3 linked regions of the Canis lupus familiaris genome follow. The protein of the gene in region 2 interacts with the protein of the main gene of each other region in a biochemical or structural test. Links are inferred from orthologs where the notes say so. Each region holds a gene or a part of one and is shown on either strand. Other genes may lie near its edges.

Region 1 (3,954 bases), on a different chromosome or scaffold from region 2:
AGCACGGTCACCAGTCACCCCGGGGCTCCAACTTATGCGACATTCTCGTCTTTTTGAACTCCTATTTTTTTTTAAGATTTTATTTATTTATTCATGAGAGACAGAGAGAGGCAGAGACACAGGCAGAGAAGCAGGCTCCATGCAGGACTCGAACCCGGGAATCCAGGATCATGCCCCAGCCAAAGGCAGGCGCTCAACCACTGAGCCACTTGGGCATCCCTAAACTCCTATTTCTGATAGTTCGTACAGAATGACACACTTGTTATCTTTTTTTAAAAAAGATCTTATTTAGGGGGGTCCCTGGGTGGCTCAGCGGTTTAGTGCCTGCCTTTGGCCCAGGGCTTGATCCTGGAGTCCCAGGATCAAGTCCTGTGTCAGGCTCCCTGCAGAGAGCCTGCTTTGCTCCTCTGCAGGGAGCCGGATGTAGGACTCCATCCCAGGACCCCAGGGTCACCCCAGGACCCAGGTGTCCCACACTTGTTATCTTTTTGAATTAGAAAGACAGGCCCTTGGGTGGCTCAGGCGGTAAAGCATATACCTTCAGGTCCAGTCATGACCCAGGGTCCTGAGGTCCAGCCGCACATTGGGCTCCCTGCTCAGCGGGGAGCCTGCTTCTCCCCTCCCTCTGCCTGCAACTCCCTCTACTTGTGCTCTCTCTCTGCCAAATAAATAAATAAAGTCTTTTTTAAAAACCTGAAACTCGGGCAGCCCAGGTCACTCAGCAGTTTAACGCCGCCTTCAGCCCAGGGCCTGATCCTGGAGACCCAGGATTGAGTCCCCTGTCGGGCTCCCTGCATGGAGCCTGCTTCTCCCTCTGCCTGTGTCTCTGCCTTTCTCTCTAATAAATAAATAAATAAAAATCTTAAAAAAAAAAAAAACCCTGAAATTGTTACTGAGAATTGTAGACTCATATGCAAAGGTAAGAAGCAACAGGGGGCAGCCAATTAAGCCGACTGTGCTCTTTCTCCATGGGGGCCCAGTGTGCCATGGCTGCAAACAGTAGCCTCCTTGGTAGTGTATGCAGCCTGTTGATTGTATGGGTTGCCCTAAGGGACCTTGGAGACAGCCCTTTGTGGTCGACTTAGAGGTCTGACATAATGTTATCTCCAATCTAGGCTGCAGACAGGTATGCGAGGTGCCTTTGGGAAGCCCCAGGGCACAGTAGCCAGGGTCCACATTGGCCAAGTCATCATGTCCATCCGTACCAAGCTGCAGAACAAGGAGCATGTGATTGAGGCCCTACGCAGGGCCAAGTTCAAGTTCCCTGGCCGCCAGAAGATCCACATCTCCAAGAAGTGGGGCTTTACTAAGTTTAATGCGGACGAATTTGAAGATATGGTGGCCGAAAAGCGGCTCATCCCAGATGGCTGTGGGGTCAAATACATCCCTAATCGTGGCCCCTTGGACAAATGGAGGGCTCTCCACTCATGAGAACCTTGCACCACCCGAACCCTATTCATGCCCACCAATAAATCCTGCTTCCTGTCAAAAAAAAAAAAAAAAAAAAAAAAAAAAGAAGCAACAGGGGATCCCTTATACCCATTGCCCAGTCTCCCTCTCACTCCCACATGAAGTTGTGCAAGATATTCACACTGATGCTCTCCTATAACATCTAATTCTCTTTTCATTTGTGTCATTTTTCAGGTAACTGCCACTGATCGTCTTGAAAACTGCTGGATCCTGGTTCTTTCTGTCAGAGAGGTTTGGGGACGGGAACGATGAGTGGGGTGCTGCTGGATTTTTGTACGTACCCCTGAATACGCATCACTTGAAAGAATACAAAGCATTCAGAGGGCAGAGAGCAGCTCTGTGCTGCCCCCTCAGCAGACGAGCTGTGCATGTGTACCTGTGTGCACTCCTGAGCTCTTGGTTCTTTTGGGGAACAGATTGGGGAAAAGATGAGTACTTAGATCTGGGGTGTGGGTACCAACAAGACAGCATCTGCGCATCGCCATAGGTGTCTGATGAAGTTCCTGCTCCAAGCCCTACACCTTGAGGGGCAGGCAGGCCCCTTCCAAGCAGGATCCAGCCTCCAGCCTATTTCCGGGTATGTTAGGACACCAAGCACCTGAGCCAGTATCACCCCAGCCCTTCCTGGTGACTGGAGAATCTGGCACGTGGTCATTACCACGTGGAGATGATGGGGGAGGCCGCCCCCCATCGTGGCCCTGAGTTCAGGTGGGATCCCCCACCACACAGCTCCCACCTGCCATAGCTGTTCACTGAGGCAGAACAGTGGGGGACATCCCCCAGATGACCGTCAGGAAGAAGGGCGGGGACGCCGGGTTCACCCCGGCAGCTGGGTCCCCAGGGCCAGAGAACAGCCTCCCCACAGGTGGGGTCCCCGCGGCCACCCTGGGTGCGCGGCTGTCGGGGACCCTGCTCACCCGTAGCGCGGCCTCCGGGTCCCCGGCCAGCAGGTGCACACAGCCCAAGTTGAAGCACATCTTGGCGGGCGGGTCCGGGTCGCCCGAGAAGAGGCGCAGGGCGCAGCCCCAGTCCCCACGGGCCACCGCCTGCACGCCCCGGTGCCAGTCGTGCACCAGGTCCCCTAGCGAGGGCATGGCGCTGTGACGGCTGCCGGCCTGTGCTTCCAGGCTGGAACGGGGCGGGCAAGTGGGTGCCGTGCGGCGTCCGGCGGGACTGGGGGCCAAAGGCCGCGGAGCAGGGGCTCCAGGGTCCGGAGAGGCGCGGCGGAGTGGGCGCCGGGAGCCGTAGCCCGTGCAGTCGGTGAGCCTGCGCAGGTGCGCCACGCCCCCGGTTGCCCTCGGGGCCCCAGGCGGCCCCTGGTGTCCCCGCGGCCCCGCCCCCTCTACATCCGGCCCCGCCCCTTCCCTCCAATCGGTCGCCCCCAGCCCGACTTCCGCCCTCAGCTCCCAGCGTTCGCGTTTCCCCGCCGGTAGCGCCCCCGGCCGGGTGGGTCTCAGTGCGCCGGGGAAAGCCGTCCGGGATCGCTGCGGCCGCGGCCGGGCCAGGGTTCCGGGCGGACCCCGCGGGCTCAGGTGAGCGACGCCGGGCGCGGGCCCAGGAGGGCCGGGGTCAGGGTTGGGGTCCTCGCCCAGCGGCCCGCGGGGACAGCAGAGACCCAGCGTGGGAGGGGTCCCCGAATCCAACCTCCGGGACGGCGGGTCGTGGGGAGGTGCCGGTGACACTCGTGGGGACCGTCCGCCCCGTGTCCCTGTCACCTGCCTCGTCGCCCTCTCCCTCAGTAGGGACCCACCTGTCCTGACCCACACCCCCTCGGGAACAGGGCCCCACCAGCCCCTGCCCCGCCCCGCCCCGTCCCCTCTCTGGGACAGGGACCCACCCGCCGCGCCCCTGTGGCAGGCCGGAGCACCCTGTGCCCTGTGGGCTTCCGTGACCCCCAGGAACTCCTTCACCTAGAAAGTAGAAGCCCCCCCCCCCCAAGACAGAGGCACCTGTGGACCTGGAGGTGGCACCTGCCCCCCACCAGGAGCCGCCCTGGAAGTCTGCAGGGGCTGCAGGGGCCCCTGCCTTCTCAGCACATGTCCCTACTGATGCCCCCTAGGCGTCTGGTTGGCTGTCACGCTCTTAGCCACGTGGGTCGGGGTTCTCCGGGGAAACCAGGCCCAGGGCAGAGGGGGAGCCTGACAGCGAGCAGCTGTGGGGCCTGGAGGAACCTGCAGGGGCGCAGAACTCAGGCTGTTCGTGAGTCTGGGAGCCAGGTCTGTCCTCCCAAGGCCTTCTGGGGACTGGATGAGGCCTACCAGGTTAGGGACGGTCATCTGCCTCAGGACAAGACTACCGTCCCGACTGTCAGTCTCCTAGAAAATGCTTTCTGGGCACTTGGGGGCTCCAGCGACCTGGACTATGGTCCGGAATTCCAGTCCCAACTTGCGTTCCCTCGCCCCTCCGTGCCCCTGCACCAGGTGCTCTTGCCTCTCTCTCTAGTGGTTGACCCACTAGGTGGCACCATGGCTTTGCTGGGTTGAC
Region 2 (4,182 bases):
TGCAGCCCCACCTGACGGGTGTCGCAGCAGCACGTCTATGACCTCCTGGGCCCTTGCATGGAAAGGCCAACCCTGCGTGTCCTGGGTGCTGAAGGGCTGCAGGCAGCGCAGGCTCTGAGCCTCCAGGCTACAGATGGCAGGGCTGTGTGGCGGGCGGCGGTGGGGCTCTTCAGGAGTGGGCAGGATCACCAGACTGGAAGGGGGGTGGGTGCAGGTGGGGGAGGGGGGGTGGGTGAGAGTGCCCGGGCGTCCCACCCTTCCCCGGCGGCCACCTCCCAGCCTCGCCCCTCCCCTGGCCTCCAAGGGCTTTCCCGGGCAGGGGACTGGGGGCGAGTGGGGTACCTGCCAGGTGGTAGCACTGGCTCCAGGTCCACGGGTTGCGGCTCAAAGAAGCCTGTGAGCACCGCGCTCCAGGACAGCTGCTCCGCTGCAGCCAGCAGTGCCCGAGTGTAGGTGTCCAGCAGCCGCAGGCGCGCCAGGCCGCGGCCTGTGCGCCCCCCGCGCACCAACAGCGATGTGTCTGTGGGCACGATGGGCTCAATCTGGGGGTCCCCGGGCCGCTGGCGCCCCTGCCGCCCCTGCCCCTCCCGGGTCCCCGCGGGCTCCCGCAGCGGCCTCACCGGGGAGCTTGGGGAGAATGCGGTCGGATCTGCGCAGCAGGCCCGCCTCCACCGGGAACGCCTCCTTGAGGGTCTTCTAAGGAAGAACCAGCGAATCCGCCTCAGTCCAGCGGTTCCCTCGGGAGGGTGAGGGTTCCTCGCGGGGATGGGGGTCATAGGAGCAGGGATCCTTGCGGGCACGAGGCCACCGCCTAGGCAAGGTCGGTGCTGGGCCTCGGGGGACAGGGTTTGCCGCATGCTCACTCACGTGGAGCTCCTTGAACTCAGCCCAGCTCCTTCGCACAAAGGTGTCGCTGCCGTCCGACCAGCACACGGAGAAGGCGAACGTCTGTTGGGAGAAAGGTTGGGGGCGCCTTGGAAGGGCCAGGCCAGGAGTTCCCTCCCTCCTCCTTGGGGCTGGCAGGGACCCCGCGCCATCCTACCTGAAGCCGCCCTGTCTGCACCAGGGCCGCTGCGCGCACGGACACCGGGTGCCGGGAGCCTGCCATCGCCGCCTCACAGCTCGCGGTCCTGGGCTTCTGGAACTGCCCAGCTGCGACCAAGGGGCCCACTGCTTGCAGCTCACCAGGAGGGAGGGCTCCCAGGCTCCCGGAAGATGACTGGAATTCCCCAGGTGCTCCCCCGCCCTGCCCTTGGGTCTCTCCCAGCTTCCTCACTGTGCCCAAAGCAGATCCGCCTAGAGGGACAGGAACACAGGGCAAGGCGAGGGGGCAGGGGCTGACTCTGTCTGGCATGAGTCTGGCCCCTGGGAGGAGGAGGAAAAGGAAGGGCCATCAAAGTGCCGCAGCCTGGCCTGACTCTCCCATGCCCTGTGTGAGACAGGTTGAGCCTCCCCAAGGTGTGCCTCCGCTCTGCCTCCCAACTCACCTGGGCGGCTGCCGGCCCTTGTCATCGGGAGCCAAGGACCCAGTACTGAAGGCTTTATGTACTTTGGCTTAATACTCACATTGGAGGAAAGGTCTCTCAGTGTTCCCAAGTCACAGAGGAGGAAATTTACATGAAATGGATAATTCAGGCTTTTCTGGATATGTTGGGGAGAGTGGACCTCACAGGCTCTTCTCCCGTGTGGTGGGGAGACCTGGGGCAGGACCAGGAGGGTCCCTGTCTGCAGTCACTGGCGCGTGGTGTGTGTGGGGGGATTGGTGACTAGGACTGTTTTGAGAGCTGCCCCTGAATTCATGATTTACCACAATTTACCCCGAACACAGCCTCTGAGACGAGGAGTGACCATTCCCCCACTAACAGGGCTGAAGCAGGGGTAGACCCTACAGTCCCCACAGGTGTGCTTAGGTGCCCCCACCTCTGGGCTGCTTCCTGAAGTGGAGGGCCTCCAGAGCTCCACCCAAGCCTGCTCTCGGTTGGCTCTTCCTGCTGTTGGGGCCACTGGCTCTTTGTTGGGACTCCTGCCCCAAGTCGTCCAGGGAGGGGTTAGCCTCTAGGTCACTCCCCGGAAAGTCACCCTGGCCTGGACAAAGGGCCTTTGTGGATCTGTCCCTCCAGCGTCTCTCTAACCTTCCCTGCTCACGGCCCAAGCAATGAACTCCTGCTGACAGAGGCCTCAATTGCAGGGTGCCTTTAGCCCAGCTGTCACGCTCTCCCCAACCTTCGTGGGGCCATGCTGAGGGGCTGGCCCGGCCGGCTGCAGGCGGGGGCAGACACTTCTCCCCTGGAAGACACAGAGAAACTGGGGCCTTCTAGAAGGGCACTAAGGCCCCCTCCCCGCCCCATCCGACGGCCCCTGTTCACACCCCCAGCAACCCTGGCTCCTTTCCCTCCTGTGCCTCTCCATGGCCCCCAGCCTCACCTGGCCCGTGGATACCTGCCCTCCCCCTTCCCCGCCCGAGCTCCTCACTAGCTCCTATGAAATCTGCTCAATTCCCAGCTCCCATGGCAGCGACAAGGCCCTGCATGTGCTCCCGCCCACCTTTAGATCTCTCCTCCCACCACCTTCCCCAGGTCCTGTGCCACTGGCTTCTGCCCATGCCCACCTCCAGCCTTGGCCTTGACGGCCTTCCTCCACTGAGTCCTCATCTTTCAGGCCTCTGCCTAAGTGTCACTCCTCAAGGAGGCCTCCGGGATTAGCCACTCCCTGTTCGTGGTCCCCACCAGAGCTTGTCAGTGGACGTGTTACTGTGACTCCCTTGTTTCTTTTTTTTTTTCTTTTTTTAAGATTTTATTTTATTTATTCATTCATGAGACACACAGAGAGAGGCAGAGACACAGGCTGAGGGAGAACCAGGCTCCCTGCGGGGAGCCCGATGCGGGACTCAGTCCTGGGTCTCCAGGGTCACGCCCTGAGCCAAAGGCACGTGCTCAACCGCTGAGCCCCCCGGGCGCCCCGACTCTCACCGCTGACCACTGGACAGTGAGCCGGGGGTCAGGGACGGATCTCGGGCCCCGCCCTGCCCAGCGCCCGGGCCAGGACTTGGAACAGAGCAGACGCCGCACAGACAGGTGCAGGTGACGCACGAGCGCGCGGAGGCTGAGGCCGCTCCCGACGGGGACGTGGACAGCGCCCCCAGGCAGCCCCGGGAGCCCCAGGCCCGCGCCGCCGGCTGTGCAGGCCCCGCCCCGCCCCGCAGCCCCGGCGCCCGTTGCCATGGCGCCCGTTGCCCGGGCCGACCCGGGGGACCCAGGCCCCGGCGCGCCGCGCTCTGTGCGCTCACCGCGCCGCTCCGCGTTGCCGAGGCGCCCGTCTGCCGACCGCAGGGCGCGCCCCGCCGAGGGCACAGAGCCTGGCCGCGGGCACGCGGGGCGGTCGGAGCGGAGCGATGGGGGCGTCCCGGGCCGCAACACGGACTTCGCCCCGGCCGCAGCCGGAGTCCACGGCGCGGCCGCGGCGCGGCTTCCACAACACGCTACTCTTCTACTGGAGGAAGCGGGAGCGCCGCCACGGACGACGCAAGCCGGGCTCGGGACGGGGACCGAAGCCCGGGAGCCCGGCCAGGACCCGGGTCGCCAGCCCCGCGCCCGCGCCCACCCGCACCCCGGCCTCAGGCTCGGCCGCCTCTCCGGCGCGCTCCGCAAGCCCCGGACCCGGCCCCGCCCCCCCGCCGGCAGCCGGCCCCGCCCCCGGCCCCGCTCCCAGCTCCAGCCCGGCCTCCGCGCCTGCGCCTGCGCCCTTGCCCGGCTCCTGTGGCCGCGCCCTGGCGGCGGCGCGCGCGCTGGCCTGGAGGCCGACTTGGAGGCCCCTCTGGAGGCCCAGCTGGCCCGGCAGGCCTTGCGCGGGCAACATGGCGGCGCCCGGCGAGCGGAGCCGCTCCGGCGGCGGGAGCCTTTTCTCCTTCCTGCCCGGCGGCGCGCGCTCGGAGGTGATGGACGACCTGGTGACGGACGCGCGCGGCCGGGGCGCGGGGCGGAGAGATGCGTCCGCCGCAGCCTCGGCCCCCGCGCCGACCCCCGAGCCCCAGGTCGCCGAGGACCCTTCCCGGAGGCGGCCCTGCCGGGCCTGCGTGGACTTCAAGACGTGGATGCGGACGCAGCAGAAGGTCAGATGCCCCTGGGGAGCCCGGCCTGCAGCCTTTCAGCCGTTCGCGCGCGGGGTCGCGCCCGGGCGGGGCGG
Region 3 (4,172 bases), on a different chromosome or scaffold from region 2:
ACACTGGTGTGTGTCCAGTGGGAGGTGGGTGCATTACACAGGAGCCCTGTGGGCTGCAGGGAATAAAGCCAACGTCACTGATGGAGCAGGTGTGATTTTCCTGGTTCCTGCACCAGTGCTCTGGGGTCCCTGTGCTGAGAGGCTGGGAGGGTCTGGGCAGAGCACCTGAAAAAGTTGTCAACTAGCTGTGACCCACATTTGGTGACTGACACAGTCACTAAAGCTCTGATGGGTGTGAGGATGTGGTTTGGGTCTGGCTTAGGTCCCTGTCCACCAAAGAAGGTGGGAATTGGGTTTGTTGGCAGGAGTGTGGGTTATAGATGTGATTCCTCATAGCCCAGAAGTTTCTGGACTGTGAAACCTCAGGAGTGCCACCCCTCTCTATTTCTGAACCGGCAGGGCAGGCCAGGCATCCAGGAGGAGATGGACACAGGGGTAACTGTCTGCCCCTCCTCCACCAGGGTCAGGGGCTGGGGCCCTGGCTACTGCTGCTGAAGCACCTGACAGCTATGACCCTCATTGGGGGTAGGGGGAAGGACAAAGGGATGCACTCCTACATTCTGGATTTTCCCAGAAGTTTGGCACATCCTGTCCTTCGGAGTTGGTCTGGTGAGCAGAGGGTTGCTGCAGTGTGACCTGGGCCACACCTGCTCCAGTCCAGGGCCAGATGGGGCAGTGGAGGCTTGGCCTGCCAGTGTCCAAGGATGCCTTGGTTAACTGTGGGACATCCATTGCGTGGCCGCAGTGAAGGTTCTGGGCCTTTAAACCTGGGACCAGCCTGCCCATGCCTCCTTTGGGAGAAGTCCCTGTTCCCTGCTGTAGGCTGCAAGCTCTGAGCAGAACCCACACGTTTTGGGGTGCCTCCAGGTCACAGCGTGCTCGCCCTGTAGCCCAGCCCGCCGGCAACGGCTCTGATCTTGGGCAGCCCAGGTGATGCTTGGGGAGCGAAGCTGGCAGGTCAGGTGCCTGGCACACAGCCAGGGAGAAACTCGGTGGCCTCCGCCGCGGGTGCCCCGAGGGAGCTGGGAGGAGCCGGGAGGAGCGGGGAGGAGCCGGGAGGAGCGGGGAGGAGCCGGGAGGAGCCGGGAGGAGGAAGTGAGCTGGGGCGGGGGTCGGGGCGCTGGGCCTGCAGGGGACCCCGCCGGGGAGGGGAGGGAGGCCCGGGGTGGACAGGGCCCCAGGGCTGGGTCCCGGCTCTCGGGGGAGCCTCACCTGCCCGGCGGGGCGGGGCGGGGCGCTGGGGGCGGGGGGCGGGGCGCTGGGGGCGGGCGGCGGGGCGGGGCGGGGCGCTGGGGGCGGGGCGCTGGGGGCGGGCGGCGGGAGCGCGGGCGCAGTGTCGCAGGAGCCCGCCGAGCTGCGGTCGTCGCCGCCATGGGGCAGATCGAGTGGGCCATGTGGGCCAACGAGCAGGCGCTGGCGTCCGGCCTGAGTGAGTGCGCGCGGGGGCTCGGGCCGCGGGCCGCGGGGCGCGGGCTGGGAAGCGGGACCTGCCACTGCGGGCCGGGGCGGCCGGCGGGGGTCGGCGGGCTGCAGCCTGCCGGGCAGCGGGGGCGCTCGGCCTGCGGAGGGGCTTCGGAGCCCCTTCCCCCGCCCACGCCCCAGCCGTCCCCTCGACGGCCCATGACCCCCGCCCCGCCGCCGGACCGCCGCACCGAGAGAGGAAGTTGCAGCCAGGAGAAGAGGCGTTTCCTCCTTGGTGGTTTCCGGGGAGTCCCTGCCCCCCAGGGTTGGGTAAACCCGGCAAGGGGGCGCCCTGGTGGCCCTGCTGCCCTGGAGTGGGGGGCCGGGGCTCCCTCTCTTCCTGGGTGGCAGGGGCTCTCCGTCGGGGCCCAGGCCCCCCGTTCCACAGAATGGCATCTGGGATTTCATAAGGTGGCTAGAGACCCCCTAGAGCGAGCCTGGTCAGCTCAGAGCCCCCAGCCACCCTGCCACCTGTGCTCAGGAGCTCTGCTTACGGAGCATGGGGTCTGCACCCGAGCTCTGTGCTCACAAGCAGGAACTTCTCCGGACTGAGTGGGGTAGAGCTGAGTCCACACCAGGGCCTGAGGCAAGAGGGGCCGGAGGCTCTGCCTCCTGACCAGGGACCTCCCACTCCCAGGAAGGGCCTATGAATGTGCTGAGGAGGGGGGCTCTCAGCCCAGCACCATTCCCCTGGGACCCTCCTCCCCCAGGCCTCCCTCCACCTGGGGAGGGAACTTGGGGAGGGAAGGCGGAGAGGTAGATGAAGTCTCCCCGGCCCTGCGCTGCGGGATCACATTTTAGAGTACAGGATCTAGCAGTGTGTTGTGTATCCAGGCAGGTCACCCCCTGCACTGGGCATCTCGAGTGGCAGAGAGCTCAGTGGGTGGGTCACGTGGTGCTCCCCTCTGTCCCCAGGCTGTCCACTCCAGGCTCTATTCGTAGAAGGCCCACTGTGTGCAGGCTGGCCGTCCTGGCCTGGGCTCCTGCTTGCGGTGCTGTGGCACCCAGGCTGCCCTCACGGCCGCTGTGCGTACGGTGCATTTGGGGTCTGGGCTCAGCCTTCTCCATCATCAAATAAGACAGTTTGTCAGAAGGTCCCCCAGGGCCCTGCTCTGCTTCCTCCCTTGCTGACTTTTCTTCTGGGTGTAAACTGCAGCCTCCAGGGGATGGCTCAGGCCTGATGAGAGCCTAGCCGCAGTCATGCTCCACAGGTTTTCCTATTGTGGGAAACCCCCTATGACCAGATTGTGTCACCTGCTACTGAAAGCCTTCCCATGGCTTTGCGGGACGCATAACCAAAGCCCGACCGATTTTGGCCTCTCCTGCACCCGATCCTCCAGCCCCCTGCCTTCTCTGGGCCTCGTCCACAGGGTTCGTTTTTGTCCCTGTTCCCCTGAGCAGGCCGCAGGGCCTTTGCTGAGGAGACATCTATCTGAAGCATCTGTGGCTGGCTGGCTTCTCCATTCATTTCTCGGCTCAAAAAGCCGCCTGCTTGGAGGAGTCTTTCTAGAGCATCAGGCGGAGCATAGCCCCGGACATTGCACCACATTCCCCAGTTTCAATGTTGATTTTTGTTCCCCCTGATGAGACCAGGAGCCCCCCAGGAGCGGGGGCCTCATCGTGTTCCTGCTGTGTCCTAGTAGGGCTCTGTCAGCGTTTGGTGGGTGGCAGACAGTCCTGCCTTCCTGGTGAGTTAGTGGGGTTTTCTTCTGCCCACCCCCCCGCCCCCACCCCCCTGCTGACCCCAGGCAGCAGAACTGCTGCTCAGGACAGGAAATCAGGCGCTCAAACACAAGGGTGTTGGCTGGATGCAGAATGCCGCCCTTCCCTCTTCCAGCCCACCCGGACCCTGACGGCCAACAAAATAAGTTAATATGTAGCAGAGCTCAGCACCAGGGATAGGAAATCTGCTGGCAGGAAAAGCAGAGTGAGACTTCAAGGAGATGTGTCTGGGTCAAAGGAAGGGGCGCCCAGGGCCTCGAGCTCTTACCTGGTGGGATGTGGGGGCCTAGTGTGGAAACAAGGGAGTTTGGCCTGCGTGGCTGGCCCACACCGGGGAGGGCCTCCTGCATGGGAAACAGTAGGAAGCAGGTCCCCCCACCCCGAGGACACTTGCCACCTGCAGCCAGGCCTGGACTTGAAGTCACGGACAAGACAAACCCTTGTGGAAACTCAGGCCTGTGCTGCATGTGGGGAAGGGCCAACTGTCTCCTACCCTGTGCCAGACCGAGAGAGGCCTGTGAGCTGGGCCCAGGCTGGAGAAACCCCGAAGCCCCCCCAGCAGAGGCAAACATGAACATTGTCTGCAAGGCTGCCGCAGGAAACCAGACTCCACCAGCTGCCAGCTCGTGCCCCCACCCACCCCCACCCCCCGGGGAGGGCCCTCTCACACCGCCACAGAGCCAGAGCTGCCCAGCCTCTTCAAGACCTGAGAATGTGAGCATGCCTTGATGCCTACGAGTGTCCCAAACTGCTCGGGGAGGGGGGGAGGAGCAGAGTTTTATAGCAAAAACAGGACAGCGCAAGATGTGAACTAACACAGAACGTCAAAGAAAAAAGTCATCAAAGGTTAATGAATTGAATGCTCTGTAAAGATGAGAGGATTTGTGGAATGGAAGGTGGGGCTCAGGGAACCTCACAGCACACAGCCCAGAGACAGAGAGGGGGTCATTAAAGAGCAGTTGAGGGGCACCTGGGGGGCTCCGTTGGTG

What was found.
Region 1: the proteins of NOXO1 (region 2) and NOXA1 form a complex in vitro, tested with the Homo sapiens proteins (2 studies listed by IntAct). The link is inferred for Canis lupus familiaris from reciprocal best matches to the Homo sapiens genes NOXO1 and NOXA1.
Region 3: the proteins of NOXO1 (region 2) and CYBA form a complex in vitro, tested with the Homo sapiens proteins (3 studies listed by IntAct). The link is inferred for Canis lupus familiaris from reciprocal best matches to the Homo sapiens genes NOXO1 and CYBA.

What each region holds. Positions count from the first base shown.
Region 1 is NC_049230.1:48,297,853-48,301,806, forward strand, and holds the start of NOXA1 (NADPH oxidase activator 1), read right to left. Parts: upstream 2,802-3,954; 5' UTR 2,565-2,801; coding exon 2,388-2,564; intron 2,048-2,387; exon of another isoform or gene 1,958-2,047; intron 1,744-1,957; coding exon of another isoform or gene 1,719-1,743; exon of another isoform or gene 1,645-1,718; intron 1,509-1,644; exon of another isoform or gene 1,432-1,508; coding exon of another isoform or gene 1,129-1,431; exon of another isoform or gene 1,085-1,128; intron 1,069-1,084; exon of another isoform or gene 935-1,068; intron 1-934. Other genes in the region: 60S ribosomal protein L10-like, read left to right, coding at 1,129-1,431; EXD3 (exonuclease mut-7 homolog), read left to right, coding at 1,719-1,743.
Region 2 is NC_049227.1:39,395,901-39,400,082, reverse strand, and holds the start of NOXO1 (NADPH oxidase organizer 1), read right to left. Parts: upstream 2,803-4,182; 5' UTR 2,652-2,802; coding exon 2,609-2,651; intron 2,287-2,608; coding exon 1,921-2,286; exon of another isoform or gene 1,513-1,920; coding exon of another isoform or gene 1,488-1,512; intron 1,297-1,487; coding exon 1,043-1,296; intron 949-1,042; coding exon 868-948; intron 697-867; coding exon 621-696; intron 521-620; coding exon 343-520; intron 194-342; coding exon 12-193; intron 1-11. Other genes in the region: GFER (FAD-linked sulfhydryl oxidase ALR), read left to right, coding at 3,854-4,108. UniProt on the Homo sapiens protein: Constitutively potentiates the superoxide-generating activity of NOX1 and NOX3 and is required for the biogenesis of otoconia/otolith, which are crystalline structures of the inner ear involved in the perception of gravity.
Region 3 is NC_049226.1:65,174,751-65,178,922, forward strand, and holds the start of CYBA (cytochrome b-245 alpha chain), read left to right. Parts: upstream 1-1,371; coding exon 1,372-1,429; intron 1,430-4,172. UniProt on the Homo sapiens protein: Subunit of NADPH oxidase complexes that is required for the NADPH oxidase activity that generates, in various cell types, superoxide from molecular oxygen utilizing NADPH as an electron donor.